Neodiprion lecontei: one gene and its partners. The protein of the gene in region 1 purifies or fractionates together with the protein of each later gene. This does not show direct contact. Links are inferred from orthologs where the notes say so. Each region holds a gene or a part of one and is shown in the gene's direction. Other genes may lie near its edges.

Region 1 (9,827 bases):
CGACATCATCGGTAAAGTCAAACGTAGATTACTACAGCAGTGTGAAACGCAATTCGATCTCGCGAGTGCCGAGTAAGTGATGGTTGCCTGTCGCGATACTCATTCCACTTTTAGCAACGTGCAAAATTTATAACTTTAAGTAAGCTACGATAAATTGAATTGCGAAGGAAAAAATTATTCGACTAAAGGTCAAGCAAGTTGTGATCGTGAATGAGCCTATCCATGCAGCTAAGAAATCGAAGATTTGTGCAACAATTGTTACCGCCACGCCACGTGACAGAGGAATCCCAGGGAAATACCCATAATCTAACACGTGCAACTCACCAACATTGCCGAGGAATGGAAAAATAACTCGGAAGTCTCTGCTTAGATCTGTAAAAAACAAAACAGAACATTTCAATTAATTTAATAAAATGGCTTTTCAGTCTGCAAATTAATTATTACTGTTGTCCAATTTCGTATTCATTGCATGTTATGCAAGAACAAAAGTTCGGCTTTGTATGTACCACCTTGAATTATCAAACAATAATGAAAATAAGTATTGTTACCTCGACTCTGGGCTGCTCCACACTTTTACATGTAGTAGTTCGTGCAACATCTGAAGTTTATTGGAGAAGCGAAGCACGTTTCACGTAATTTAGATCGTCACTCTCATAGTCCAAAAATCCGCACCGCAATAACACTCGAGGCTACATTCACTTTGTGTGCTGTAGCTGTCTGAACCGACTGAATAAACTTTTTAACTATACAACTGCGCATTTACCGAAGATCAGCAAAAAAAAAATAAAATGAAACTGACACACGACGCACAGATGCTAAAATAGACATCACTGATACCTAAAGGTACACAAAACAATGGAAACTCGAGACACGAAATTCACCTTGAACATGTTTTCATTTCAGTAACTCGGTTTCTCTTCAAGCTACACGCTACTCTTCGTGTATTGTTCACAGATGAGTATGGTGCAAGTACACTGATCGAACAACGCGGTCTGAATGTTGAAATAATCCTGCGTACACATTACGCCGCTCTCATCTCTCGGAAACGACTGATTCCGCACGACGTTCAGAAGAGAGTTAAATCAGTTCTGTGAAGGACGGAAGATAATAATTCTCCCGCCCTCTATGCTGCTCTTCCCATGGAGTGGGGGTAGCTGCACACGCCCGCCTGCGCCCACCTAGCTGTTTTTTCCCTCTCGTGGCCCCCCACTCCATGAGCAGACCGACACAGAGGGCGGAAGAATTATTATCTTCTGTCCTTTAGAGAACCGATTCGAATCCGTTGACGGGACGCTTAGCCCGTTGTTTATGCTTTATTTTATGTATCCCTATGGTCTCAACGGCCGGGTGAAAACACCACGTAAGCTACGCGCAACGCGATCAAAATATGTTTAGAGCTTTGCCGTAATATGCGACGTCAGGCGAAGTATGAATTCCCGGACCACTCATAACAGACATTTCTTGAACAAGATTTTGTCAAATTTTCAACTTCACTATGACGAAGGTATGTTACCAACGTTTTGCAGGCGATAGTGTAGGTTATGAGGCACTTCTTTCACCGGCGTGGTCAGTTGCTAATTGGTTGATAATACGGGAAACTGCTAATACTCTCAAACCGACCCGACCCGGCAAACTGTTACGCAAAATAACCACTGATATAGGTATTAATATATATCAGTGAAAATATCCCAGATTATCAGACTTTATACATTCTCAGTCGACGATACAAGTAAGGGGAAAATTCTGCGAAATACATTGCATTTAAGCCACGAAGCAGAATATGAGCAATGCTGTATGAGATAGTAATTAAGGTAGTTTGTGTACGCAATTTAAGTTCCAACCTGTGTGTAGGGGCAATGCACCTGTGCAGGATGCGAGATGTATGATATTGTATTGTTACTATTGCATGTAACTTAGAATAAAATGAATAATACCAAAATAAGTTTCATCATATTTTTCCGTATATTCTCAGCTTGTGTTGATCCTACGATGCTCCAATAAATACCTTTTTTGCATGCAGTCCTTGGGGTCCAATTAGTCCAGAAAGGGCTTTTGAACAGATTCTGATTGTAAGACGAAAATTTTCCGAGCTCTGAAAATCGCAAACAAGCAAGGCTATACCCTTTTGTATTTAGACGGTCGAAATTTGGCCTATTTTGAAAAATAGTTGCATGAATTCTTTGATGCACTATATCGACGTAATTTTGCGAGAGGAATAAATTGCGCGCAGTCAGAACACGCTATGAGCTACTTCATCTTGCTTCTTCATTTTCACCATTTTTTCACACTTGCAATTAGTAATCCTAGATTTCTTAAATCTGCGAATAGAAATGTTATTGAGGTCCGTTGACCTAATCACGTGGGTTTTGACGTGCGGCATTTTCAGGGGCAACTTTTCCTGCGACGTCGTAGTGCTATTCGCGTCAATTTGACACTCTGAAAATATAGCTTGACGCAGGCCTATGACGCCACAACTCTAGTTTAGGATGCGTTCCGAAATTAGCTGGCAGCGTTAACAAACTCCCTTTGACAGAGGCAAAGCCACCCACGAACTCAGCAGTGCAAAAGAGATAAAGGATCGTCGACAGCGCTGGGAGCTAGGAACGCACCCATAATGTAGCCTGTCGGCGTCAAGTACCTTAATTTTTTTGTTTACTTTTAAACATACTTTTCACCTATTGAATTATTAATAGCCAGTGTGTATATTGCACACACCACACACACACACGGGTATATATATATTTAATTTATATAGGTATATACCTACCAATTGGTGATACGGACAATTCGAATTAATTAGTTGGTCCACAGCCAGCTAGATCTAGGAGTATCGTCTTATCCGCGGACTTGCCGCAAAAACTGCCGAGAGATTTTTAATGATCAGTAAGGCACTGACTTCGGATGTCCGCTGGTTTTGCCATTTTGTGACGCTGCTTTGCGTGTACATACATAAATAATTTGTAAACAGTATACTCGTTTAAATTAGACATTTAAATAAAGATCACACGATGTCTAAGCGGAGGATTGAAGTGGTGGATCCATATATCAAACGAAAGAAGTAAGTAACTAGCACATCTATCACCTCGGTTAAACAACTGGAAGACTAAATCTTGCCATGTGCATTGTTAAAATTCCATCGCGATCCTTCTCATTACCAAAATCTAATTTTACATCTATTCACATATATACACATATTTTTGCCTCAACTTTTTCACCCATCATTCTGAATATTTTTAACTGTATTCCACGATATCTTTAGTTCCATTCGAACTTCTATATTAGCAAGTAATGTTTTATATACATACAGTACATACATACCTGTAAGAACTACAGCAAAGGTGCTCAACTTGGATTTGATGTAATTTATTTAAAACTATGTATGCTTATTATTCACAATAAATTCACTCATTGTTCATCTTGATGCTTTACTGGTAACTCCTAACCTTAAATTGTTTCAGTTATAAAACAACGTGACAGTGATTGTTAAAATAAATGTTGTCTTACTTCTTAACAGAGATGGAACAGTCGCCAATAACATGCCAACTTCAACGGCGGCCAAAAATCAAGTTCAGCATAACCCATATACCGGTCTTCCATATACGCCACGTTATCATGAATTTTATAAGAAGAGAATAACTCTTCCAGTATTCGAGTATAGAACAGACTTCATGAGGCTCTTAGCGCTGCATCAATGCATTGTCTTAGTTGGTGAAACTGGATCTGGTAAAACTACTCAGATACCGCAATGGTGTGTCGAATACTCAAGATCTATGGGTCCGAAAGCTGTGGCTTGTACTCAGCCGAGAAGAGTAGCTGCCATGTCAGTTGCCCAGAGGGTGTCAGAAGAAATGGATGTCGCTTTGGGTACACAGATTAAAATTAATATGATTATTATTGATGAAATCAGTCACACAACATATTTTTATGCGTCGAATTATGCCTCATTATTGCAATCGAATCACAAAATTTAATAATAATTCAAGGACTATCATACAAATATTCACGCAATTGTTTCTAATATGGCCAAGTTGATGTTAAAGATAATACCGTGCTTCTTGGTAAAAGTGAAAGGTTATTTTTTCATAGGACTAGATAAACATGCGAAAAAGTACCATCGTGTCCTTCTTGACAATTTTATTCAATATCGCAACAAGTGTTATTAAAGCATGAAATACATGCCTGTATATGGCCCCATGGACTAAGGGAAGGCTTAAACAAAGTCAACATCAATCCATAATTTTCAATACACTTAGAAGATCACTTTTAGAGCATTATCTCAGTTCTGTCCTGATCCAAAATTGTAGTACCCTTTTCCATAAGAGCCAAATTTTCCGGGCCAGACAAATAGTACCGGGGCTGCAAAATGAAAAAGTGAAATGGGCAAAATTTATAAATTGAATCATCGAGTGCTATACTTTATTCAAATAATTTCGTTACCTTTTTGCAGGTCAAGAGGTAGGCTACAGCATCCGTTTTGAGGACTGCAGCTCTGCAAATACTGTGCTTAAGTACATGACGGATGGTATGCTGCTTCGAGAAGGGATGTCTGACCCCATGCTCGAAGCGTATCAAGTAATCTTATTAGATGAGGCTCATGAAAGAACACTGGCGACAGATTTATTGATGGGAGTTTTAAAAGAAGTTGTGAAACAGCGTCCAGATCTGAAACTGGTTATAATGAGTGCGACTCTAGACGCAGGAAAATTTCAACAGTACTTTGATAATGCACCATTGATGAACGTTCCTGGTCGAACGCATCCTGTAGAGATATTTTACACACCAGAACCAGAAAGGGATTATTTGGAGGCTGCAATTAGAACAGTAATACAGATTCACATGTGCGAAGAAGTGGCTGGCGACCTTCTCTTATTTTTGACTGGACAGGAGGAGATCGAGGAAGCTTGTAAGAGAATCAAGAGAGAAATGGACAATCTAGGACCTGAAGTTGGAGAGCTGAAATGCATCCCTTTATATTCTACACTTCCACCGAATCTTCAGCAAAGAATATTCGAACCCGCTCCACCTACTAAACCCAACGGAGCTATTGGAAGAAAAGTTGTAGTGTCCACAAATATTGCAGAAACTTCATTGACCATTGATGGTGTTGTTTTTGTCATTGATCCAGGGTTTGCGAAGCAAAAGGTAGTTATTTCGTCACCCACAGAAATTACAATGTTGATATGTATTGAAAAATGACAAGCTAAATCCGAATATTCTAACGAAAATGGTATCACTTACCACAGGTCTATAATCCGAGAATTCGCGTAGAATCTTTGTTGGTATCGCCAATCAGTAAAGCATCTGCGCAACAGCGAGCTGGTAGAGCAGGTCGAACTCGTCCAGGGAAATGTTTTCGGCTTTATACAGAAAGAGCATACAAAAATGAGATGCAGGACAACACGTATCCAGAAATTCTTCGTTCAAATCTCGGCAGTGTTGTTTTGCAATTGAAAAAGCTTGGAATTGATGATCTGGTAAGTAGTGCGATTCTTTTACTGTTAATAAAATGAAATGAACAATTATTTGAATCAAAATTTGAATTTTACAGGTTCATTTTGACTTCATGGATCCTCCAGCGCCTGAAACACTTATGAGAGCACTGGAGCTGCTCAACTACTTGGCGGCGCTTGATGACGACGGAAATTTAACAGACCTAGGTGCAGTTATGGCTGAATTTCCGCTCGACCCTCAGCTGGCAAAAATGTTAATAGCTTCATGTAACCATAACTGCAGTAATGAAATACTCAGCATCACCGCGATGCTTTCAGGTACTGTATTGGGGTTTGTTGATTCCATTTTAATTTTAGATTCACATAATTTTCTAACATCTCTCTTATTTAGCTTAACGTCAGCTCCAAAGTTCAGAAAATAAGAAATTCCCCATAGTCGAGGATGTTGTTCAGACATTTTCATGTGTCTTCCTTATTTAAAGCGCTAAATCAGTTATAGTCTATAGTAAGAAAATATAAAATGTATTGAAAGCTGGCAATTTACAGTAGATTCAAGTTAGGATGGTGGTGAGGTAACATGGTTATGTATTGACAATTGACATGGTATTAGTCCCACAGTGTTTTGTGAGACCAAACGAGGCTAAGAAAGCTGCAGATGACTCAAAAATGCGGTTCGCGCATATCGATGGCGATCATCTGACTCTTCTTAATGTATATCATGCCTTTAAACAGAGTAAGTAAAAAAATTAATGTCATTTACGAGGACAAGTGTGCTACAGTACAATATTCAACAATTCTAAAATCAATTGCAGCCTTTTCTCATAGTGTAAATCTATGACGTGATTGAGTGTTTAAAGCTTTTGTTACTAATTGAATGACTTTTCAAAATTGATGATTCATTCCTCATCTCTGTGTTTGTGTAATTTCTTGGCACTCGCATAAAATATGGCTGTGATTTTTCAATTATGGTTTTTCTGAAACATAAAAAATTTGAACTATGAGTGTTAACACAGAAATTTAATAATTTTCAGATATGGAAGATCCGCAATGGTGTTATGAGCATTTTGTGAACTATCGATCACTTAAGAGTGGAGATAACGTTAGACAGCAATTAAGTAGGATCATGGACAGGTTCAGTTTAAAACGTACGTCAACCGATTTCACGTCCAAAGACTATTACATAAACATCAGAAAAGCATTGGTCAACGGATTCTTCATGCAGGTAAGAAATCGAAAACATTTGTAAGAGTATTACTCTACTTGTGTTGATGCGTCTCTTTTTAATATATGAATGAAAAATTGTTCAGACAAGAAGCTTGATTCTAGCTTCCCACTGATTTGGTCTTATGAGAGTAAATCACTTTTAAGCGGAAAATGACAAAGATTAATGAATAATAATGAATTGTGATCTTTTTTTTTATACCAGGTTGCACATTTAGAAAGGACGGGACACTATCTTACAATAAAAGACAATCAGGTTGTGCAATTACATCCGAGCAGTTGCCTTGACCATAAACCTGAGTGGGTAATCTACAACGAATTCGTGCTTACGACAAAAAATTACATCAGGACAGTAACAGACATAAAACGTGAGTACCATTGTAAAAAACTTTCTTTTTTTTTTCTTCAATGAAATAGAAAAAAACCGAAACACCGAATATTCTAACAATGTATGCATATTCATTTCAGCCGATTGGTTACTTAAAATCGCACCCCAATACTACGATTTGCAGAACTTCCCTCAATGCGAAGCTAAAAGACAGCTTGAAGGTATTCAAACGCGACTAGATTCGAAACAGTATCAAGAAGGCTTCTAACGTTGTTCGCTTTTAGCCACGTTACCAATCACTAACAACGGCTGTGACCAGCCCAGTCCTTCGAGCATGTAAACTCTTTTTTTTTATTCATTAAAAAAAAACCGAAATAGAGGTAAAGCAATTTTTCAAACGATCTTAGGCCAAGTTCATCTCCTGTTACAACATAAACGTTATTCTCATAATTGGCAATGATATTCATGCTGAAGGACTTATAAACTCGATGTTTATCCTATTGCTCAGGATAAATCGTCAGGATACTTAAATCCATCAACCGCTGGATGTTACATCCAACCCTAAGTACCAGTGGGCTTAATTTATACAATTTCAAAAAAGCGTAGCTGTTTGATAGTTTTAAAAGGAAAATACAATTACAAACAGAAGAGAAATTGTTGATAGGGTCGTTCATAATGTATGTAGCCAAAGTTGATATACCTTACCGACACACACCACTGCACTATAAATAATAACTTACTATCTATCAGTTCGGATATTTAACGAAACAAATGTTATTGTTAGTTACTTTTCTTGTCACTATCCCCTTTGAAACGCAAAATCAAGTTGTCGACTGTACCCAAAAAGTGAGTACGTGATCACATCGACCAATTTTGTGATCCATTTATTATAGGATACCTCACCACCCTTTGTGTATACTGTTTTATACCTACCCAAATTGAAGTAACGAATAAATTTTATTGAATTACTATTTAGCTCACTATTCCACTTGAAAAATTGCTACACGTTGGTGACTGTTCGTCATAACACATTTATAATAATAATGGCTGTGGTCTGTATTGAAGTTTCCGTTGTTTCGCTCTGTATTACTGACAGAAGCACAGGAAAATTTTCAGAGAACAAAAAAATTAATAAAACACAAGGAACGGAAATATTGTGTCAAGTTATTCGTTCAATGTTGATTAATGATTGTTGATGTAATAGAGATTTCATTTCTTAAAAATAAGTTAAAAACTACTTTGAAATTTGGAAAAAAAAAACTAACACCAGGAGTGCAGACTGTTTTTTCGTTGAAACGTGACTTCACGTTAGGATAGAAAAAGCTTTAGCTGACACAGTTTAGCGCGTATGTGTATAATTGATCATAATGAGTTACTTTTCAATTCAATTACTTACCTATGTACATCAACGTATATTACCGTAATACCACGAGTCTACACCCCGTTCGAATTTGTATAAGTAATTATTTTAACCGCTTGGGAACGGTGATTAGAGTTTATTGAGTATTTTCAATGCACTCGTACACCTTTCCATGGATAGGGTACATTCGCATTGTTAAGATCGATATTTTCTCTTTTACGCAATAAAAAAAAAAAAGAAACTACTAACCACCATGAGTTGAAAAAATACATTATTACGGTAATGTAACTAATGATGTTTTACGTGTTTGACGCCAGATGATGGGTCGCTTTTTTCAAATTTTGTACATATAATAGCGTTTCATTATGCTGTATCACTTCATTCCAATAAAACGAAGTATACCTGTAACATTTATGCATTTTTATCATTCTTATTTCAATTTCATGGTTTTTACTTGTGCACGTTTTAATGATGTTCAACTAAGTCGTGCTCAAAGGATGATGAGGTTTTAAAACTCGTCAGCAAATAGTAATTAACAATTTGTTTATTTAATTATTATATATATACAGCGAGTATCAAAATTTGAAGAAGAAATCAACGAACGAATACGAAATATCGGTTTGTATGTACAGCGAATACAGGGTATTGCTCGGAATTATTTATATTATTGAATTAAGGTATAAACAGATACACATATGTTGCGACTCCTACACTACTAAAATTTTTTAACGTTCAAAAATAGGAAATATATATATATTAACAAATCAGTTTGACTTTTGTCAAAAGAAAATATTTTACTTTTCAATATCGCTCCATATAACGCATCAGTCGTTAGTCACTCGTATTGTGTTTTTTCTCAATTTAGTAAAGGAAACTTGTGAGAAAAGAGAAAAACCTCGAGTCATTTCATTTTGGTAATATACAAGATTTTATTTCTCTCTGCTCTGACCAAGAAAAATGTGATCAATACTTCTGATCCATTGATAGCTGGAAGAAAACCAATGGCATACGTATTTATAAACTAGAAGTTTATCGGTTATTATACTGTATAGGTACATTTTTATACGAATTACAACGTTCAAACGATTACCAAATAACAAGTATATTCGATATCAAAACATCAAGAAACTTTGTTGAATGTTAATTCTTTCATGCCAGCTGTTATGAAGTAGTACGTGGCACAGTTTTTCTTTTCTTTGCAATAGAAAATTCAAATGTATAACAATTGATCTTTGACATTTAGTGTCAATCCTAGAGTCAAGTAACTCGAAAACGATCAATTGTTATTTAATTAACTTTCTATCCAATACTTAATACTTAGCCATTAGTCATATGATTACAACAAGAAAAAGAAATTGTGCAAAAATAATTCGTTTATCCCTACTATATCAGTTTGCACATCTTATAAGGGAACTTTTTTAATGGTTCACGATACATCGTATATTCATATCATGTATTTAAAAAGGGC
Region 2 (8,112 bases), on another chromosome or scaffold:
CAACGGGAGAGAAGATACGAGGAAAAAAGCACCTGCTGAAAAATGTCGAAAATTCAGGTTTTCGTTTTTTGGCTGTAACTTTCGATGCGTTGATCGCAGCGTATTGGGACTGCGCCCAATCGATTTCTCTCGCAAAATTACGTCGGAATCGTGCCACAATTAATTTATTCCAGCACTTTTGAAAATCGCGAAAATTTTCGCAAAAAATACAAAGGGGTTAACCTTCCTTTTTTTTTGACCAAAAAATTTTTCGTCTCAGAATTGATTCGTATGACTCTTTCCCGACCAATTGGACCCCAAGGAACTCAGAAAACGCAGCAAAAGGAGCGTGGGATCAACGGGTGAGAAGATACGAGGAAAAAAGCACCTGCTGAAAAATGTCGAAAATTCGGGTTTTCGTTTTTTGGCTGTAACTTTCGATGCGTTGATCGCAGCGTATTGGGACTGCGCCCAATCGATTTCTCTCGCAAAATTACGTCGGAATCGTGCCACAATTAATTTATTCCAGCACTTTTGAAAATCGCGAAAATTTTCGCAAAAAATACAAAGGGGTTAACCTTCCTTTTTTTTTGACCAAAAAATTTTTCGTCTCAGAATTGATTCGTATGACTCTTTCCCGACCAATTGGACCCCAAGGAACTCAGAAAACGCAGCAAAAGGAGCGTGGGATCAACGGGAGAGAAGATACGAGGAAAAAAGCACCTGCTGAAAAATGTCGAAAATTCAGGTTTTCGTTTTTTGGCTGTAACTTTCGATGCGTTGATCGCAGCGTATTGGGACTGCGCCCAATCGATTTCTCTCGCAAAATTACGTCGGAATAGTGCCACAATTAATTTATTCCAGCACTTTTGAAAATCGCGAAAATTTTCGCAAAAAATACAAAGGGGTTAACCTTCCTTTTTTTTTGACCAAAAAATTTTTCGTCTCAGAATTGATTCGTATGACTCTTTCCCGACCAATTGGACCCCAGGGAACTCAGAAAACGCAGCAAAAGGAGCGTGGGATCAACGGGAGAGAAGATACGAGGAAAAAAGCACCTGCTGAAAAATGTCGAAAATTCAGGTTTTCGTTTTTTGGCTGTAACTTTCGATGCGTTGATCGCAGCGTATTGGGACTGCGCCCAATCGATTTCTCTCGCAAAATTACGTCGGAATAGTGCCACAATTAATTCATTCCAGCACTTTTGAAAATCGCGAAAATTTTCGCCAAAAATACAAAGGGGTTAACCTTCCTTTTTTTTTGACCAAAAAATTTTTCGTCTCAGAATTGATTCGTATGACTCTTTCCCGACCAATTGGACCCCAAGGAACTCAGAAAACGCAGCAAAAGGAGCGTGGGATCAACGGGAGAGAAGATACGAGGAAAAAAGCACCTGCTGAAAAATGTCGAAAATTCAGGTTTTCGTTTTTTGGCTGTATCTTTCGATGCGTTGATCGCAGCGTATTGGGACTGCGCCCAATCGATTTCTCTCGCAAAATTACGTCGGAATCGTGCCACAATTAATTTATTCCAGCACTTTTGAAAATCGCGAAAATTTTCGCAAAAAATACAAAGGGGTTAACCTTCCTTTTTTTTTGACCAAAAAATTTTTCGTCTCAGAATTGATTCGTATGACTCTTTCCCGACCAATTGGACCCCAAGGAACTCAGAAAACGCAGCAAAAGGAGCGTGGGATCAACGGGAGAGAAGATACGAGGAAAAAAGCACCAACTGAAAAATGTCGAAAATTCAGGTTCTGGTTTTTCGGCTCTCACTTTTGATGCGTTGATCGCAGCGTATCGGGACTGCGCCCAATCGATTTCTCTCGCAAAATTACGTCGGAATAGTGCTACAATTAAACCATTCTAGCACTTTTCAAAATCGCGAAAATTTTCGCCAAAAATACAAAGGGGTTAACCTTCTTTTTTTTTTGACCGAAAAATTTTTCGTCTCAGAATTGATTCGTATGACTCTTTCCCGACCAATTGGACCCCAAGGAACCTAGAAAACGCAGCGAAAAGAGCGTGGGATCAACAGGAGAGAAATTGAGTAGAAAAATACACCTGCTGAAAAATGTCGAAAATTCGGGTTCTGGTTTTTCGGCTCTAACTTTTGATGCGTTGATCGCAGCGTATTGGGACTGCGCCCAATCGATTTTTCTCGCAAAATTACGTCGGAATAGTGCCAGAAAGAATTTATTCCAGCACTTCTCAAAATCGCGAAAATTTCCGACAAAAATGCAAATGGGTTAGCCTTACTTTTTCTTCATTTTTTGGCTGAAAATCTTTTGAACTCAGATTTGACTTGTATGACCCCGTCCCGTCAAATTATTCCCCGAATAGTTTAAAAACGTGCAAATAGATCGCCACAGCTCCGTCCGATGAGGAAATACGTCAAAAACACGTAGTAATTCCTCTTAGCTGCTAGTCCGTTTATCTCTCATCACCTGTAGTTTTAGACTGTGTACATCCGATTTGTTCTTTAAAGTTTTGTCGATATTTCAGATAGCTACGTCGTTCATAACTTATCTGGCCTTATCGGCATTACAGAATCCTTTATTAGTCGCAGTACCTACGTTACCTACTACGAAATCGCTGGAGTACATCGAGTTTACGAAACCGACCAACGTGAGTCCGCTAGAGAATAACGTAGTTTGAGCATGGTTGTTCACGATTTGGTGTTTTCGACACTGGGATGTTTTTAACATGAAATCACCTGATATTCAATATCTACACAGCACAAGGGTACTTTAAAGTCTTCTGTCATATAGAATAAGTTCGCATCGACTCCAGTTACGTGGTCTCACTCAGAAACGTTCGAGGCATTGGGTTAACCTCAAATTTTTAGATTTTTGATCCGAGATATTCTATCGATCTTATAATGTCTGAGGACGAAGTCGAAAGTTTTGAAATAACAGACTACGATCTGGACAATGAATTCAACATTAATCGTCCTCGGCGAAAACTGTCCAAAAAACAACAGATGCTTGGTAAGCAAAAATCTATTATCTTACTTTGAATTCTCCTAACTCTGTTACATTCACATATTTCTCCATCACTAAATGTAATCGTCAGGAATATGGGCTGATGACAGTGATGAAGAAGAAGTGCCAGCACGACCTTCCTTCAAATCATCAAATCGTGGCCCCAAGAATTACACCGCACCAGTTAGTTTTGTTGCCGGTGGTATTCAGCAAGCTGGACAGCCCAAGGATGACAAGAAAGAATCTGATGGAGACAAAGATGATGACGACGAAGGTGGTCGGCCAAAACGAGGAGATGCTGATTACGTTCCCAACAGTTCTAGGTATAGCTTTTAATATATTTTTTCTACCATAGTTTATGAATTATCAATCATTGTAGTGGTATTAAATATCAGTTTATTGTACAATTTTCTATTCTCAGCACAATCAAACTCATTGTGTCATCAACATAAATTAGTGTCATGAAATTCTAAGCTCTACAATCACTCTTCCACAGCTATCGCTCCCATTCTTACGCCTTTGTACAATCCATATCCTGTTCTTTTACATTCCAGTGACTCAGATGACCAAGGACCGAGCTTCGCTAGAGCAAAGCCATCATTTTCCTTGAATCTAGAAGGTGACATAGCTGGTCTGCGAAAAAAAAGAACATCAGTTAACCCAGTACTTATGAAATCAGGAGTCGGAAGTTGGGAAATGCACACAAAAGGAATTGGAGCGAAACTCTTGCTTCAGGTTAGTACACGGTTCGTTTGTTACCTATTAATGAAAGAATATTCACCTGCGATGACCAGTGTGTCGGATTTTCCTGTTATAGATGGGTTTTGAACCCGGTAAAGGTCTCGGTAAGAAGTTGCAAGGTATAATGGCTCCGGTAGAGGCTCATCTCCGTAAAGGCAGGGGAGCGATAGGTGCTTATGGTCCAGAAAAATTGGCCAAGGTGCCTGAAAAGAAAAAAGACGAGGATGTAGAGGAGGAGAAGGAGTTCAAAGCAAAATTATCGCAATGGCGAAAGGGGGAGACGGTCAGCAAGAAGAAAGTGAGATATTGCTACAGGAGCGTTGACCAAGTACTGGAGGATGGCAAGTTAAGACCGAACCGAAAAGTTCAGTTGAACAGTGAAATGAGCAAAGTCAAAGTCATCGACATGACAGGACCTGAACAACGAGTGTTAAGCGGCTATCATGCAATCGGTGGTGGACAACAGCGACCCGATGAGACTGTTACACCGGTCGATGTAAAGAAAACAGGCGTGAATTTCGCCCTCCCTGAACTCCGCCATAATCTCAATTTGCTAGTCGATTTGTGCGAGCAAGACATTATACAGAACGATCGCCGAACTCGTCATATGTCCGACAGGGTGGTAGCTCTTGAGGCGGAAAGGTCAAACTTATCTAAGATAGTAGACCAGCACGAACAGCTAATGGACACTCTGGAAAACGTTCTATCTATCGTCGATCAGCTCATGGACCAATCCAATGATCTGTCCCTAGAGGAAACTGCAGCAGCCTTCAAAGATCTTCAGGAGAAATATTACGAAGAGTATAAAATGTACGAATTAGGTGAACTTGCCACAGGCCTGGTTGGTCCCAAAGTTAAGGAATTCTTATCTACTTGGAATCCATTGACGAACCCTACGCACCCCATTCCACTATTCAAGCAGTGGAAAAATATTCTTGAAAGTGGCAGAAGCACCTTGCAAAGCGGAGCTCTGCAACCCTACGATCAACTAGTATGGAACTCTTGGATGCCGTCAATAAGAGGCGCTGTACAGTGAGTATTTTTGTCTTCAGAAAATTACATTGTCAGATATCAGCTGATTAGTGGAACTTACGTAGGTGTTGACTCTTTCAGACAGTGGGCTTGCCGGCAACCTGATCCTCTAGTCGAGCTTCTAGAGCAATGGATTCCTCTTCTGCCAGGATGGATACTGGAAAACATACTCGACTTGTTGGTTCTACCCAAATTGACGCTGGAAGTTGAGGAATGGAATCCTCTCACCGACACAGTACCAATTCATACCTGGATTCATCCCTGGTTACCATTGATAGGTAAGAGTAGTTGCTGAAATTTGTGATAAAAGAATGGTAACGGATTCGGAGTACAAGGGATGAATTATTTAAGTTCGATTTAATACATTCTCTTACTTTCCCCATCTCCGTTCATGATTTTCCGTAGGTAATCGCTTAGACACTGCAGTGTATCCGATCATTCGTCGTAAGTTGGGCTCAGCGCTAGGAGGGTGGCATCCTTCGGACAGATCAGCAAGACTGATGCTGCAGCCGTGGTCCCTGGTGTTCAAGAAGGGAGACATGGAAGCTTTCCTGGTGAAGAACATCATTCCAAAACTTCAAGTAGTTTTAGCCGAATTTGTGATCAACCCGCACCAGCAGCATCTGGACCAATGGAATTGGGTATTTGAATGGAACGAAATGCTGCCGATTCACACCATGGCAGGTCTACTGGATAAATTCTTTTTCCCCAAATGGCTTCAAGTCCTGGCTCTCTGGTTAAATCATTCTCCCAATTACGATCAAGTCACCAACTGGTATATGGGATGGAAGGGAATGCTGAGTGACAAACTGCTGGCAGAGCCGCAAATAAAGGGCGAGTATCTGTCAAGTTTTTTCTCACGTAAAGGACGTGTCGCAATAAAACCTAAACGTGCTCATGAAAATATTTCGAATTTTCAGACTACTTCAAGAAGGCGTTGGACATGATGAACAGAGCGGTAGCGGCACCTCAGGGACACCAACCCGGAGCAATGGAACAAGTGTCCTACCTCACAAATCTCGAAAGAACTCAAACCGCTCTACCTCCGTCTGCGCCAGCCGCTCAGCCCAGGATGGAGGTGAGAACAAGAGAAGAAAGATTTTATTTTATCTTTGTATCGCCGTGTAGTTAACGCAGATATCTATAATGACGAGTTTCTATGATTTCCACTTCAGAGAATTGCCGAGGCCGTGCGTACCGCGTCGCAAATTCCACAAGGCTTCAAGGATCTCATACAAAAGCGGTGCGAGGAAAGAGGCATCCTCTTTATGCCCGTGCCAAACAGATACAGGGAAGGGAAACAAGTTTATAAAGTCGGCAACGTTCAGGCTTACATCGATAGAAACGTCGTCTTTGTTTGCCACAACGGATCCACATGGGCTCCGACCCATTTGAACGCGTTACTGGACATGGCTGAGATATAGGATTGTAAATACCATTGTACATACTTGCAGTGAAGTCTTAGAATTTAGATAAATTAAATATGTTCACGATGAAACGATTGTGACGAATTTTAATTATGCGGTTCGCTATGACCCTTGCCATCCATCCATCCTGTTTAAAATATTATATCGGAGATCCGTCATATCGATATAGCTAGCCCATCAACATGTAATTTCAGGCGAATTACACATACGTTTGTCGTGCGGCATTGAGAATATGCGCAGAGAGAAATATTTGGGACTTTTATAATTAAATCTGACTCGAAGTGTTAAATTTTACAATATCAGATGACGTCTCATGAGAATGCTATTGGTAATCAGACGCAAACATCAGACGATGTTGGATTCATTACAAAATAAGGCGGGCCTGAATAATTAATACTGTAAATATACCGCAGTGTATATCTATTTTAACGGTAACCACAAAGCACAAGCAGCTCAATACGTCAGTGTACTTGGGCGGTTTGTTTATTTAATTCCGTATGCCTCATTCGATTCCAGGCGTATCACGCGATTCAACGGGTTAAAATCCGGAAAGATGACCTAGCGCATAAACGAGGGAAGCATAGGCGAATAAGGCATAAATCGGCGGAGCAGCAATAACGATAATTAATGCCTTAGAGAGGTAGGCAGGCAGGCAGGCAGCAGCAGGCAGCAGCTGTGGAGGCAGGGAAGGTTCTCCACCTCTATTTAGCTGTCTCGCGTCGAAGGCGTGTAGGCGCCCCTGGTTATCCCACCACTAAGGTGCAGCTTAAAAACTTCTCGATATGGAAAGTTGTATAGTTGATTCCCGCGGAGACGAGGTCTGGCTACGGGCAGCCAACACCGACGCGACTTCGGTCGCGTTGAATGGGCATCCTTCGCCCACGCGTCATGATCCGCGACATCCGCGACGTCCTTCCCCCCCACCTCACTACTTCGAAGCCAGCGACGAAGGGCAACGCAGTGACTTCAAGACTCCTCGGCATTTCCTCCTGCAGCAGTCACGAACGCGTCTCGCGGTGTTGGGAAATTTGCATCCCGGCAAGATGCGAGAGTGCCTGGTAACTGTCCGTCTCCGCGAGGCTTCTTCCCTCTCTCCGGCACCTATCCAGGACCTGTAAACTCCAACGGTGCAGCCTCTGAGACTCCGGGGCACATTGTCTGATGCCGATCCTTATTCTCTATGCGCAACAAGGAACTCGCGTCACCCGCTATGCGAAGTACTTATTGTATCACGTGTACCTACTCTTGTACACCCGTATATACGTGTATACCCAAGCTATCCTACAACCTTATACACGCAACGTAATTTATGTCGGCGTAAATTGCGGAACGCCGATAAACGCGTATGGCCGCAGCTATCGCTGGGACTCTCGCTATACCAACGTCCGTTTGTGCACGAATTGACGTGCAGTATAGGATCGAGATACCACCTCGCCGTGCGGATACACCTATCTTCTGATTGAAGATCATTCGCTGTTCCAAAATATCGTATTACATCACTATTGTCATTCCTCGTTGTACTTACTCCTGTAATAGGACCATATATTGTACACTGTTATAACGTCGAAGGTTTGTTCCAGTAAACGATCGGACACAAAATCTGATAATCTGAAAATCTTGAATTCTTCGTCAATTATTTATTATTACCAGTTGACCGTGATTCATATGAAGCGTTCTTAAACAAATGGTGGATATCTTTAAATGGGATGGTAAACACGAGTGTGCATCGCGGTTACTCATCATTCATCGAGTGGATCCTCCAAGGAAGTGGAGTTTTTCCACAGCTGCTGAATAATCTCGATATAATATGCCGTGTTCGACGAAGTCTGGTATTTAATTCAGAGAACAAGTGGCCATAAAACCTGGGTAATTCCTCACGTGAAGGATGTATAATATATATACGTATAGTACAGTTTGTATGAAGAGCGTTTGGATCGGCGCTGAGCGTGC
Region 3 (6,293 bases), on another chromosome or scaffold:
AACCTGATTACAGTTGCCAAAACTACGATTTCTGATTATTGCAAGGCTTAATCTGTTTGTTAATAGTTGACTAGGATCTTTTTAGTTTAACGAGGCCTTAACATCATTTTGTTCTTACAACAGCATCAAATTATCACAACGGTTGGAAGAAAATGCATCACGAGAACAGTAACATCTGTTGCATGTGATTTTATTTTTGTTAGTTAGAAAAGTGATATCCATTTTGAACCCGGAACCATATTTTTTACGGTTATGATGAGAATATGAAAATTGTCGAGGACCGTAAAGTGACAACGACTAGAAATTTCTTTCGGTAAATTCACGTCAACGCGTGAAATTAGGTTTCTGACGAGTCGGCGAATATTCTGGACATCGAGAAATTAATGAGGCGGCATGGCGGCAGTGAATTTAAACTAGCAATACTTAGGAGTATGTCCGTTTCTTTATTACACGTCTCCGCTGATTAGACAAAAAGATTATATGTGTTTTCAATTCGTTTATGGAGGCTATTATTCATTGTTGTTTACTCTCGTAGTAACGGACAGTGCAAATCGCTGGGGGAATTCTGAATATCTTAACGTATATGGGAAAACTTTATCGTCAATTAAATAGAAATATAAAAGTGAGTAAAAAATTTTTATATTCTCTCTGAGAAGAAAAAAAATTTTGTTTTGTCTCATCGAAAGGTTACCGAATACCTACTTTAATTGCGTAGTGTGATTGTAAACAAATATGTTTTTTTTTTTGTCGAAGAATGGATGCGTAGGAGAAAATCTTGCAATTTTCAAGTAAATCCAAGTACCTACGCATTGTTATACAGTTAAGTGAATATTTTTCTTTCCAATGCCACATGACTCGACTGAAAATTACCGATGTGACCCTGCAAATTGTGCCATGCGCGAAGCTCTGATATTATCATTAATGTATTGTCGATCTATTTTCGCGTTTACTGTATTCGAGTTTTTATACCAGACTTATAACATGTGGATTGTACTCAACTCAACGAACACATAAATAATGAATAATTCATTGTTCATTTATTCGGCGCTGTTTTCTTGCCCTTCAAATCGTATTTCCTGCAGACTATAAATAATCAGAAATCAATTTATGTTTCCCGGTTGTTTGATGGAGTTCGGTTTTTTTTTTCTTCCATTCGGACGGATGTGATTGAGCACCTTGAAACTCAAATGGCCTTGCATGGGTTTGGAACGAATTGTTTTCTGCAAATACAATTCAAATAGCTAGACGTTCGGGGATTTCTCTTCAATAATTTTGCGTGCGAAGAAATAATTAATATTTGCGTTATAAAATATTATTTTATGTGCGACCCGAAATCCAGTACAACTTTCAATGCAAATCATGCATTGCAAGTCTGGCGAAGAAGTTGGTAATAAACAAAAATCATAAAAGCAGGCTTACAAAAATAAAACTCAAGTTAATACGTTGAATTTTCAAAGAATCTCTTCTTACATGTAGTCCGAAAATGAAGCAATGGATAAAAACGGTAAATTAAAATCAATCGTAAATCGATGTAATAAACTCTGCGAGGCATAAATTCGTTGATTACAATCTGTGATGAGTTTGTATGGGACAAGTGAAATCATCCGGGTCGATCTGTGTCAGTGTTAGTCGATAGTGTTATTTCGACAAAATTTCCGACATAATCCATCGAAATTGGAGACAATAATGGATGATTGTTGATGATTAACGATACAACTTTTTGGTTAATTATAACTTGATTTACTTGAGTCATCGCTTCTCAATCTCCGTTACAATTTTCTATGACCCAGTTTCGAAAATAAAATAAAATTTTCCGACGCTCGAACTTACCTTGCGGCGTTGATATAGGCGAGTTTTGTAATTTTTTGACCTGCTTTATTTTCACAATAATTTTACCAACGGTTTTTGTTTGAACCTCCTGCAGATGTGCAAAAATTGAGAAAGCCAATTGCATGGACATGCAAGTTCAAGGTTGAGAAGATCTATAGCAAATTGACCTTGATAATAAAGTCGAAATTATTTGCACTCAACGCGGTTGGATCTTTCATTTAGTAAGACAGGTAGAAAGGTGATTTCTCTTTTTTTGGAACATTCATGCGTATGAAAATAATCGTTCAACATAGTATGCATCAAAATCTGGTTCCTATTCATCTACTGGCATTAAAGTTAGATATGGGTGAGAAATTCGCAAATTTAAATAAAAATCGCGACTATGTTCCCTACTCTTCGATATGTTATTCGATTAACGAAGAAGGGGCATTCATTTAGTCCATCGCATCTAAAAAGTAGGTAAATCATTTGTTCCAGTTAATTCGTCTGTTAAATTAACGAGAAGGTTAATATTCTTAGAGTGAATTTAATACAAAAACCTACATAGTTTTGTGTGTAGTTCAAACTGTTCAGAGTGTTTTTTATTTCTAATTTCAAGACAAGGAAGACTGAGAAGAAAAAACCGCTCATTGATTGCTTATATCAGATCAAGTTACTTGTTAGGAACAGGTAAAAAAAAAAAAACGGATGACGTTCGATTGACGTAGTTAATGACACCAATAACAAATATTCTGGAGACGTTGGTATCCAATACGTCAGGGAATGCTCTTTCAACTATTTACATTTACTTAAATGGTATTCTGGGTAATTGACAAGAGAAGGAATTTAAATAAGCTAAAATCATAGAACGGTAGATATTCAGGGCTGCAGACCATGAGCAAATATGTGTCCTTTTTAGCAATAATACTTCACTGAAAATTATAACCGCACTAAAACTACGTTCGGTGTTCAATTGAAATGGCAAAACTTTTGAAAACAAATTTCGCGTACGATATTTGTTAATCCAAACGTTCCAAAGGTAGAGAACTAACAAATGTTCAACGAGCTGAATGACGAGGAAAATCGTTCAAGTTTACATTTTTTGGGAAATATCTTCGGAATTTGCCGCAGCTTAGTGTATGTAATGTTTGTTGAATACAAAAATCAGTTCAATTCGTATAAATGTATATACAGTAACTAATTTTGTAATTCAAATCGTCGACATCTGTGATTTCTTCCGATATATTATGATCAACATTAGCTTACCATCAGTATTTACAAAATCCTAAATCATTCAAATTTTCAATTTTCGCTAGGTAAAAAAGATTTTTTACTTTTTTGAATATCTTTGAAATTGAAGTAGGATTATACAAAAATGTACCATAGAGCCGACAGATTAAAGGTAACGGTACGAAGTTGATGAATCGGTACAGAATTTACGAGATTAATGAGCAGAAAAAGACCTTATGAAAATCATATGAATAATTGAGATAATGAATGTGCTTACTGAGCGCAGTCTCTGCAGTTACCGACTTGATCAGATGACTCGGTTGGTAATGACAGAAGACCTTCATTACTACCGACCACGGTCTTACATACAGGTCTGGTAACTCCGGCAGTTTTGAGTGGTAGGGGGTGTCACCGTTAGAGAGGCACACGGTCTTGTTTCCTATCCATCCGCTAGGGGCGCCATTGGCCCGGGGTATGCTAGATATAGATATATACCGATAAGATAACCTGCTCATCGAAGTTTTTGCCAGTTCATAACTCAGTGTAAAGTGTGTAAGCGATGGATCATCTACACAAGATCTCAAACTGTCTCAAAAGTTGTGAGCCCTCGCTTGATGTTTATGGATTTTATTGACTTAAACATTTGAGGATTCCGTTGAAATGAAACAATTATCATGCCCGCTATGGAATGCTAGTAAGCATTTCAATCATTTTTTATTCGCATCTTTCTTCATTTTTGAGTGTTATTCAGGATTGTTGATTCTGAAAAACCAGCTGTTCGGATCTGATTTATGATTAACTCACCCCGAGGGGACAGCGCTGCAGACGGTGAAGACGAGAACCACGGTTTTGCCTCATTATCTGAGTCATTCCCCACCCTACTAGTTTCCGGACCTGTATGTAAGACCGTGCTACCGACGCAATTACTGCTGATCATAAACGCTCCGTCGACTCGGCTGTCTCTAGTCTTCTGAGTTCGTGATTGATTCACCATAGCTGCGTCAAAACCGTAGTCGGAACGGTCAAAATTAGCGTAATAAACGGAAAGGATTTGGGACACGTTTCTTTACAGTTGCTGAGAAATTTATTGTCTAGAAAAATGGTGAAGTTAACACCGGAATTGATCCAGCAATCGATGCAGTACATAAATCCTGTACGAGATCGAGAATTGGACTTGAGAGGTGAGAATGTTAACGGTTTTTCAAACGACGTTGCGCTGCTTTGGCGTAACTTAACCTGAAAAATTCAATTTTTGCACCGGTTGTTGCTGAAAATTTACTTTTTTTATTACAGGATATAAGATACCAACGATAGAAAACCTGGGGGCCACCTTGGTGAGTATCAACGTTCAAGAAATAAACAAGAACAGAAAAAGAGATTAACTTGAGGTCAGAATTGATTCCCAATATATGAGAGTTGAATTATGATGGAAGAAAGTCCGTTTTTGCATGCATGTATAAAGCAATTGTTGGGGGATGAAGAGCATTTGTTTCTGTACTTCTAACATTGGCATTATGTATTATGGTTGCCTGAAGTCGAACAGTTTGATTCAAGCCTTTGGGCTTCGAGTTCAGAGTTGGTGAAACAAAAGAGTGCTATTGATGCATTGTTAACAGCCTATATTTGTTCCAGGACCAATTTGATACAATAGATTTCTCTGACAATGACATCCGAAAGCTGGATGGATTCCCGTTGTTGAAGAGACTGAAGACCTTGTTCTTCAACAACAACAGAATAGTCAGAATAGCCGAAGGCTTAGAGCTCTGTATTCCATCGCTGGAGGTGCTTATGCTTACCGGTAACATGATACAGGAACTGGGCGACTTGGACCCACTCATTCCGCTGAAGAATCTTCGGAACTTGTGTCTCCTGCAGAACCCGGTTTCTGCCAAGCCTCAGTACAGACAGTACGTCGTCTATAGATTGCCACAGCTCCGTCTTCTCGACTTCAGGAAGATAAAGCCAAAGGAAAAGGAAGCAGCCATCCTCTATTTTAGAAGCAAGAAGGGCAAGGACATGGCCAGAGAAATAGCCAAAAAGGCCAAGACCCTTGTTGCTAACAATGGCACCCTAAGCAAACCACCCACCAATGCTGAAGAACGCACAAAGATCAGAGAGGCCATCACAAAAGCTTCGTCACTGGAAGAAGTTCAACGATTGAGCAAGTTACTACAAGCTGGTCAATTACCTGGCGAGGAATCTTCACAGAATGGTATGGAAAACTTTACTAAAATTGTTTGTACGCCTGGCCTCGGAGCTTGATTTGAACATAGTAAGACTATTCTAGCAAATTGAGTTGCGAATGAATTTTTTTCCAAATAAAACATCGAACTCGATACTTATTTCAAAATCAATTTTTTGCAGACGAATATAGCGCTTGTTTATGCTCGCGGGCTACTAATATCTCCTATTTTTCAGGCACCCCACAGCAGCCAACGCCAATGGAGGAGGAGGACGATGAGTGAACTAAATTGAGGGATAAATGTTTAATAATCTGTTTACCGCATTACGAATTAAGTTCTTTTTTTTATAAGGTTACAGCGTAATCCCGTAAGTATGCATTGCCTCCTGATCAACGTTTGTAAAATGAAATATGTAAAAAAAAAAGGTTCTGCATATTAAGCTAATAAGAAGCTGTACACTACACAAAATACAGCATTATCCATTGGAATGTATGGATAGAAAGCGATGGTAAACCGAAATAACGGTTCATTGAAAATTCTAAAAATAAATTACTCTTTGATTGCAATGAAACAAGGTTCGGAAGCGATTTTACCTGAACGAAATTTTCTCTGTAATGTTTCTCCGCTGATTCTAATGTAAATCTCTGTTTATTTCAGCGTGGTTCGAATAAAACACATTGTTTTTCACATTATAAATTGTGTCTTTTAATACTTATTACCATCCAAAGTTTCCCAACAACTTAATTTGCTTGCAGAATTTCATCAAAACTAACCATAAACTAATATTAATAGTTGATATAATCTCACGGTTTGCATTGATGAAAATTCATGCGTAAATCAGTAGCTCAAAGATCTTCTGAATCCCACATTATCACTCAAGTTTAGACGAACCGTTCGCGTCTGTAACGCAGCTTAAGCTAAACTGGAGCATACAAAATCAGCTTCGAACCGTTGTAAACAATTTTTGTTTTGATTTTCCTCACTCTAGGGTCCGTTCGAAGCGTCGAAACTCGGATTAGCGACTTAGACCGCCTGAAGGTAAATTACAAGTCATACACAAACGTAAGACCC
Region 4 (6,706 bases), on another chromosome or scaffold:
TTCATCCAAGTAATGTTACTCTTCTCTCTATTCTCAGAATCGGATGACGCACTAGCAGTCATCTAAAATAGAATGGCAACACTTGTAAAAGAAGGCATGAATATACGAAATATGACTGAAAAAAAATTAAAATCTGTTATGTTCTTCTTACCGCTGTGTACATCGCCATATAAGCACTGTAACTCAGTTCGTTAGGAATTTCTGACGATCCGATTGTAGTGACAGAATTCTTACTCTCGTTGTTGCCTTGTACAGGCGGCGATGTTGTTGCCAGGATTATCTCATTTATAGAACTTACTGACCCACGCTTGTTAGCTGTATTGACAGCATCGTTCAGTCGTCTAAACCTATTGACAATGCAGTGAAAACCAGTTGTAATATTTTGCAGCTACTGTTGCAATATGTACCCACAAGGCAAGTTGAAATATTTAGTGAACGAATGACATAAGGAATCAAACGAATTGCATTATAAATTATAAAAGATTGATGAGAGTTACCAATCTTCCTTCTGTCTGTCTGTTCGTGCAAAAATGTACATCTTTGATCTCTGACCACTCTCGTCGGTGCAATCTTCAAAAACATCTTTAGCTTCTTTTGAATCCTTAGACAGATCTTCATCAGTCTCATCCTCTTCATGAATGGTGCCATCTTCATCAACGCCAATTTTTTGAAGAATCTCATCCTCAGATGTCTCATTTAAAGAAGAACTCTCAATTAAAGCATCCTTACCGAATGTTATGCAGATTGGATACTTTTTACTCCACCTCCTGTAACAACGAAACGTCATATTTCATATTCTAAGCTGTGCGGAGAAGAAGAAATAAGATAAATTAGAGGGTTCACATTAAAAAGTAAACAATACCAGGGATTGTATAGGCACAGCTGTGATAAGTTACCTTCTTCTTATCAGCCCTTCCGGAAGTAGTTTAATTGTGGCATTAGCAAGCGTGTAGACTTTCTTCCAAATGTATCTAACGTTCTGTTTTGGCTCGTCCCAAACTTCACGTTTTGGTATTCGCGTCTTAGTTTCCATCACCTTTAAGCTGCCTCCTTCTAATCTGAAGTAAACTGAAACTGTTCTAGCAACGTGGTAATTGTCAGGATCGTAGCTGTATGGCAGCTGATTTAGCCACCCTTCAAATCGATCCAAAACGACATGCTCCTCTGCTGCAGGTATTTCCAAAACAGAGACCTGCTCGTCGCCGCTTCTGACGTCTTCAATCTTCTGAGGTGTCATTAAAGTCTGAGTTACTAGAGCTAACGCTCTTTGAATCGTGATTGTAACAAATATTCCAGCAATGAGACCAACTATGTATTCAGGCAAAGGAATAACGTGATACGCGCCGAGAAGTATTATGGGAACGCTGATAAGCTGATAAATTATTTTCTTAAAAAGTTGAGTCAATGCAGGTTCGGACTTTACTCGCTGTGGAATAAGCTTCTCAATAGCATTCAAAGGTAGTCTGATCAGAGGTGTTTGTAATTTTTTATTACCATCCGAGCTTCGCTGAGCTTGTAAATTTTTGTCATCCAAATTAGATTTTGATAACAAATCGTCCTCGGCGAGCTCCGCAGCCTCTACTCCACTCTCAACACTATCCTCTTCAGAATTTTTTGTCTTCAGACCAGTCTTAATGTTATAGAATCCTGTGAATCTGGCGGAACGATTTTTACTGAATTTTACAGGGGATGAAGACTCCAGTTCCTGTTGTTCCGAAAGATTATCTTCAGTTGGGGTGATGTCAGCCAAGTCTTCGGAATCACTAACACTAGAATTATCTTTGCTTCTGCGTTTTTTCTTTTTCCTCTCGCTTTTAATCTCAGAAATTTTTTCCTCAAAAGTTTTTGTTATCTTTCCCTTGATTTCGGATAACATCTTCCATGGATCGGTGGGTGGTGTGCCTTCCGACAAATTTCCATCGACGCTTGCCGATCGCCTGCCCAGACTAGTGCCTTCTCCCAATTCATCCTCAGATCTATTCCGACTAGTTTTACATGGACTAGATTTTGTCGATGGGTGCTCAGACTCCGGAGTGTACAACTCGTCGTCATCTGTGCTTGGGTAAAGCTCCTCAAGTTCATTGTCACTGGCATGATACCGGATCACCGGCACCGAGGTCATTATTGGTTTACCTGTTTTAACAAAAACAATTAGCTACCATATTGTCGTCACGCTGTTGGCACAAATTGTAATTGCTACATTAGTTTAGAAATAAAATAAGTATGTAGAGGCTGGTTTGTGGAAAATAAAACACCGAATGCTGGTCATGCTAGGAATTAAGTACCAAAGATTTGATAAACATTGCAAGAGGCAATAGAGAGCGAAATAAAAATTAGTCTCGACAGACAAATACATTGAATCTCACCCTTCAGCATACCCAGGGTAACCTTTCCAGGGGTAGTTGGTTTGGAACTCATTTTTCCACAGCCACTAAAAAGCGGTCAGACAATAGTTGTAAAGCTAGAAACAAGCGAGCGGTTTCGTGTCAAACCCAAAAATTTCGATTTTATTTTCTTCTCTCTTTACTTATCACTTGTCAGATGCAAGTGTCGCGAGCAACTGCAAAGGATTGCGTTAAGTGTTCCAGAAACTTGCCGCAACAGCGTAATAAACGTACTTTAAAACTGGCTCCAACATATTCGCGGTAAACAAGTGTCAATAATCGAAAACTCTAATGAAAAACTATAACGACGCAGTATTTACGAAGTGCGTATTTTGTCGTACCGGTGGATTTTTATACTTCACATTCACAAGCGCAGACAGCTTGTGATTCCCCGCTACGCACAGCCGACTATTTCTTATTTTTTACTTTATTCCGTATTAGAGATATTACACTACTGGGAATATAAAGAACCTGCATTCCTACCCGTTGGGCATATTTATTCGGCAAACGTAAAACAGAGTCATGCTATTAGTTACACCTACAATCACGCAATGTTTGGTCGGAGTTCTCCGCGCGGTTAGTAGTTACCTTTATGCGAAAAATAATCAATTTACTTCGCGATATAGCGCAGATTTCACATCATATCTGTTTACTACCGCACATCGTCGCACACCATACACACACGTGTCACACGTCGGAATGACGAAGCTTGGACAAACTTAATCATTTAAATCGATTGTCGAATGACAATCATGGCCTCTCGATTTTTGGCTCACTTCATAGCTAGACAGCGACGCCGAGTTAAGCAGCCAAGTAAATCGTAACGTCAATCGTACGCGTTGCTTGAAAGATGGCGGCCGGTCCGATCGCCGAAAGAAATCAAGGTAATTCATAATGTTTACGAAAATTAATGGAGATTAACAATTGTCGTTTCGTTTCAAAGACCTATTTCTTGCATTTCACAAACATCGCGGATAAGTTTTCAATTGCGCATCTTTAACTCAACATTTTCTGTTACGAACAATGCACGATTTAGGTTATGTTAGGTTATGTTATCTCGTAGCTAGAAGTACTTTTGAAAGAACGTTGCCTGGAATCCTAATTTTTACTTCATTGTCGCGCATAATTATTTCTTAAGTCAATTGTGACTAATAAATAACCTGAATATGACGTATTTCCAGATGCTACAATCTATGTTGGTGGTCTTGACGACAAAGTTACGGAGTCTCTCATGTGGGAACTCTTCGTACAATCTGGCCCCGTCGGTAAGAAAAGTTTGCTATTGTCTTTTTCTTCCATTAAATTATAAGAAAAACCTGAATCATTTTCATTAAATTATGTCTCATGCTTGGCTGTTCAAAACTAACTTTCTGTTTCAGTTAACGTTCATATGCCAAAAGATAGAGTGACTCAAATGCACCAGGGATATGGGTTTGTCGAATTTATGGGGGAGGAGGATGCAGATTACGCGATCAAAATTATGAACATGATCAAGCTGTACGGGAAACCAATAAGAGTAAATAAAGCTAGCGCCCATCAGAAGAATTTGGACGTAGGAGCAAACATTTTTATTGGAAACTTGGATCCAGAAGTAGATGAAAAATTACTCTACGATACGTTTAGTGCATTTGGTGTTATTCTCCAAACACCTAAGGTAGGTTAAGTCGCTTTCAATTATCAGTAATTAAGCTGTTGCGTCTCATATATCGAAAAGAAACGTGAATAATTAACGCTCCGCATTACCCATATTTCAGATAATGCGAGATCCAGAAACAGGAAATTCAAAGGGGTTTGCCTTTATAAATTTCGCATCATTTGACGCATCAGACGCTAGCATTGAGGCGATGAATGGTCAGTACTTGTGCAACCGTCCAATCTCCGTGTCCTACGCCTTTAAGCGAGACGCGAAGGGCGAGCGTCACGGAAGTGCGGCAGAGCGTCTACTCGCAGCTCAAAATCCGCTAAGCCAAGCAGACAGGCCGCATCAATTGTTCGCGGACGCACCGCCTCTCAATCCAGTGACTCAGGCTCAGAACCCCAACATGCCGCCGCACCAGGTTCAGCACCATCCGCATCATCCTCATCACGGAATGATGCACCATCATCACGGAATGGTCGTTCCTCCCCCGCCGCCTCCCTCGACTCCTGGGCCACCGATGGGACACCATCACCACCCTCCCCCGCCTCCAGTCCCTCCTCCACCATCGGGAGGATTTCCTCCATCCAACATTCCACCTCCTCCATTACCACCGATGTCAGGAATGCACCAATCGCATCCCCCTCTTCCCCCAGGGATGCCACCTCCTCTGCCTCCTATGCCTGTACCAAACTCGCAGCAGCAGCAAGCTGCTCGCATGATGCCGCCTCCGCCACACTGGGGACCACAGGGCCAGTTTCCTCCTCCGCCTCCCCCAGGCAGTGCTGGTGGACCACAGTATGGACAGTTTCAACCGCCGCCTAGACCTCCTCCAGGGTGGCGCCATCCACCACCTCCGCCTGCTTCGCAAGGAGGGCCTCCCCCCCCTCCGCCGCCGCAATTCAGGCCGCCATTCCCACCGAGAGGCCCACCACCTCCACCACCTCCGCATGAAACGGGACAGTACTGATTTGGGACTTATAAATTGAATGTTTTATAACAAATGATTGACTTGATTGAATAAAATGTAAATCTGTATTATATTAATATTTTTGCTGGATCGAGAGAAAAGAAGTTATGTTACATAGTCGTGCCTCTTTAGAAATTTAAGATTTTTAAACTTTTTCCACCAATCTACGATTTCGGTCAAATGTCACAACGCTTTTGCATTATTTTTTTTTTATTTTAATTATTTGTTGCAGACAGGTAAACTAATTTCGGCAAACATGATACTGAACACGGAGAACGAAGAACTCGAAAATCCCAATTTACTTCACTCCTCCATCCCGATTATTCGTTAGAATCGTACAAATTTGAACTGTGCAACATTGCTCGTTTGCAACAAGTGATTTAAATGCGCCACAGTCAGCTCGAACTATCTTAGCACCCTGGTACGGTCAGTTGGTCAGTATCGACCGCACCTACCTGGCGTAAATTGTACGAGGGACATTCGTCGCATCGATTATTTCGCATTTGTGCCGTCTAGACTACCATCGTAGCCATGTCCTTTTCCGCGACGTAAACTTAATTCGTAACTGGTATGTTAAAAATTTGTTCAGTTTTACGAGGCACGTGGTAAACGATCGTTTCATCTGTTGCACATTGACTCTGAGCCAAATAATCATCTTTCTTGTGATCGAACTTGCAAAGCTTTGACCGTGAGGTGATTATCCCTATTTAAAGCGCGTTGCGCAAGTTCGAACACCCCAGTTAAACACGACAAACTCCCATAAAATCAGCAGCCATCAATCGCACGGTGATTACTGTCGTTAATCACGGGAACTTTCGTTATATGCAAAACAAAATGCACAGTGATTCGAACTTTTGCTAATGCACCGGGGTTCAAATTTATCCATCAAACAGGATCGCTTCGTATTTTAATAATATGTTTTTACGGTGGCAAGTGAAGTACACGGATATAAATTATCACTGTGTAAACGACTCAATCAGTGAGTATAATAATTTGTGGCTAATTTTAAAATTCTGTGTGACAAATTAAACGACCGTATCAATGTTGCTCAAACGTGTCTGAAGTAAGTGCAGGTAATTTTAATCGTACAATGGCGCGTCCGATATACGAGTGCAATTTCGGACTGCGTAGTGAGAATTACACAGCCAGTGGTCCGATATTTTGTACAATCAACAAGCAATACTGCTGCAACTCACAATGTTGCCTTGTACAGCGAAGACCGACTCGCCAGCTTTGGGAAGCCTGGTACTTTTGGCTCGGACTCGCTTTGCTCGCTCTATTTCTGCTCACATCGGTAAGATAATGTTTATTTTGTATTATTATATAGTTAATAATACAACGAAACGACCTTGATGACGGTTGTAAAATTTATTATTCATTTCACAAGCATCGGAGAGTCTGTGATATTCATATCGGAAGGATTTCAAAAAGTTTCCCGCCAGAATTACAAACCCGCTTGAATGTGGAAAAATTTTTGAGACGATGTTAAACCGATGAATGAAAGCCGCGTGACAAATTCTAGAAAAATTTATTCCATCAATGACCATAGGAATTATCAATTTCTATCAACCGAAGTTACGATGGCTGTTATTTTTCTTTGACCATAAGTTCAAATGACAGTTTAAACCTTTCAACAGGCAAATTCAATCATTCGAAACGTATTCCATCCGAAACTGTTAATTACGTTTCTCATCTCAGCTTGGTCAGCGATATCGA

The links.
Region 2: the proteins of putative pre-mRNA-splicing factor ATP-dependent RNA helicase PRP1 (region 1) and septin-interacting protein 1 purify together in Homo sapiens (co-immunoprecipitation; 4 studies listed by BioGRID and IntAct, with this or other methods). This does not show direct contact. The link is inferred for Neodiprion lecontei from reciprocal best matches to the Homo sapiens genes DHX15 and TFIP11.
Region 3: the proteins of putative pre-mRNA-splicing factor ATP-dependent RNA helicase PRP1 (region 1) and probable U2 small nuclear ribonucleoprotein A' fractionate together in Homo sapiens (co-fractionation; 3 studies listed by BioGRID and IntAct, with this or other methods). This does not show direct contact. The link is inferred for Neodiprion lecontei from reciprocal best matches to the Homo sapiens genes DHX15 and SNRPA1.
Region 4: the proteins of putative pre-mRNA-splicing factor ATP-dependent RNA helicase PRP1 (region 1) and splicing factor 3B subunit 4 purify together in Homo sapiens (co-immunoprecipitation; 4 studies listed by BioGRID and IntAct, with this or other methods). This does not show direct contact. The link is inferred for Neodiprion lecontei from reciprocal best matches to the Homo sapiens genes DHX15 and SF3B4.

The regions. Positions count from the first base shown.
Region 1 is NC_060264.1:26,637,224-26,647,050, forward strand, and holds the start of putative pre-mRNA-splicing factor ATP-dependent RNA helicase PRP1, read left to right. Parts: upstream 1-2,877; 5' UTR 2,878-3,008; coding exon 3,009-3,058; intron 3,059-3,228; exon of another isoform or gene 3,229-3,358; intron 3,359-3,514; coding exon 3,515-3,864; intron 3,865-4,447; coding exon 4,448-5,142; intron 5,143-5,243; coding exon 5,244-5,474; intron 5,475-5,548; coding exon 5,549-5,768; intron 5,769-6,060; coding exon 6,061-6,183; intron 6,184-6,481; coding exon 6,482-6,672; intron 6,673-6,876; coding exon 6,877-7,039; intron 7,040-7,139; coding exon 7,140-7,267; 3' UTR 7,268-9,827.
Region 2 is NC_060265.1:1,083,659-1,091,770, reverse strand, and holds septin-interacting protein 1, read left to right. Parts: upstream 1-2,606; 5' UTR 2,607-2,859; coding exon 2,860-2,968; intron 2,969-3,053; coding exon 3,054-3,285; intron 3,286-3,516; coding exon 3,517-3,697; intron 3,698-3,779; coding exon 3,780-4,735; intron 4,736-4,816; coding exon 4,817-5,013; intron 5,014-5,140; coding exon 5,141-5,569; intron 5,570-5,655; coding exon 5,656-5,813; intron 5,814-5,910; coding exon 5,911-6,159; 3' UTR 6,160-6,233; downstream 6,234-8,112. UniProt on the Homo sapiens protein: Involved in pre-mRNA splicing, specifically in spliceosome disassembly during late-stage splicing events. Intron turnover seems to proceed through reactions in two lariat-intron associated complexes termed Intron Large (IL) and Intron Small (IS).
Region 3 is NC_060263.1:37,389,676-37,395,968, forward strand, and holds probable U2 small nuclear ribonucleoprotein A', read left to right. Parts: upstream 1-3,978; 5' UTR 3,979-4,138; coding exon 4,139-4,220; intron 4,221-4,332; coding exon 4,333-4,373; intron 4,374-4,671; coding exon 4,672-5,251; intron 5,252-5,457; coding exon 5,458-5,504; 3' UTR 5,505-5,793; downstream 5,794-6,293. UniProt on the Homo sapiens protein: Involved in pre-mRNA splicing as component of the spliceosome. Associated with sn-RNP U2, where it contributes to the binding of stem loop IV of U2 snRNA.
Region 4 is NC_060261.1:8,362,000-8,368,705, forward strand, and holds splicing factor 3B subunit 4, read left to right. Parts: upstream 1-3,124; 5' UTR 3,125-3,234; coding exon 3,235-3,268; intron 3,269-3,565; coding exon 3,566-3,649; intron 3,650-3,763; coding exon 3,764-4,038; intron 4,039-4,138; coding exon 4,139-4,990; 3' UTR 4,991-5,061; downstream 5,062-6,706. Other genes in the region: testis-expressed protein 2, read right to left, coding at 1-62, 152-347, 498-767, 897-2,133, 2,367-2,418; uncharacterized protein LOC107218135, read left to right, coding at 6,081-6,284. UniProt on the Homo sapiens protein: Component of the 17S U2 SnRNP complex of the spliceosome, a large ribonucleoprotein complex that removes introns from transcribed pre-mRNAs.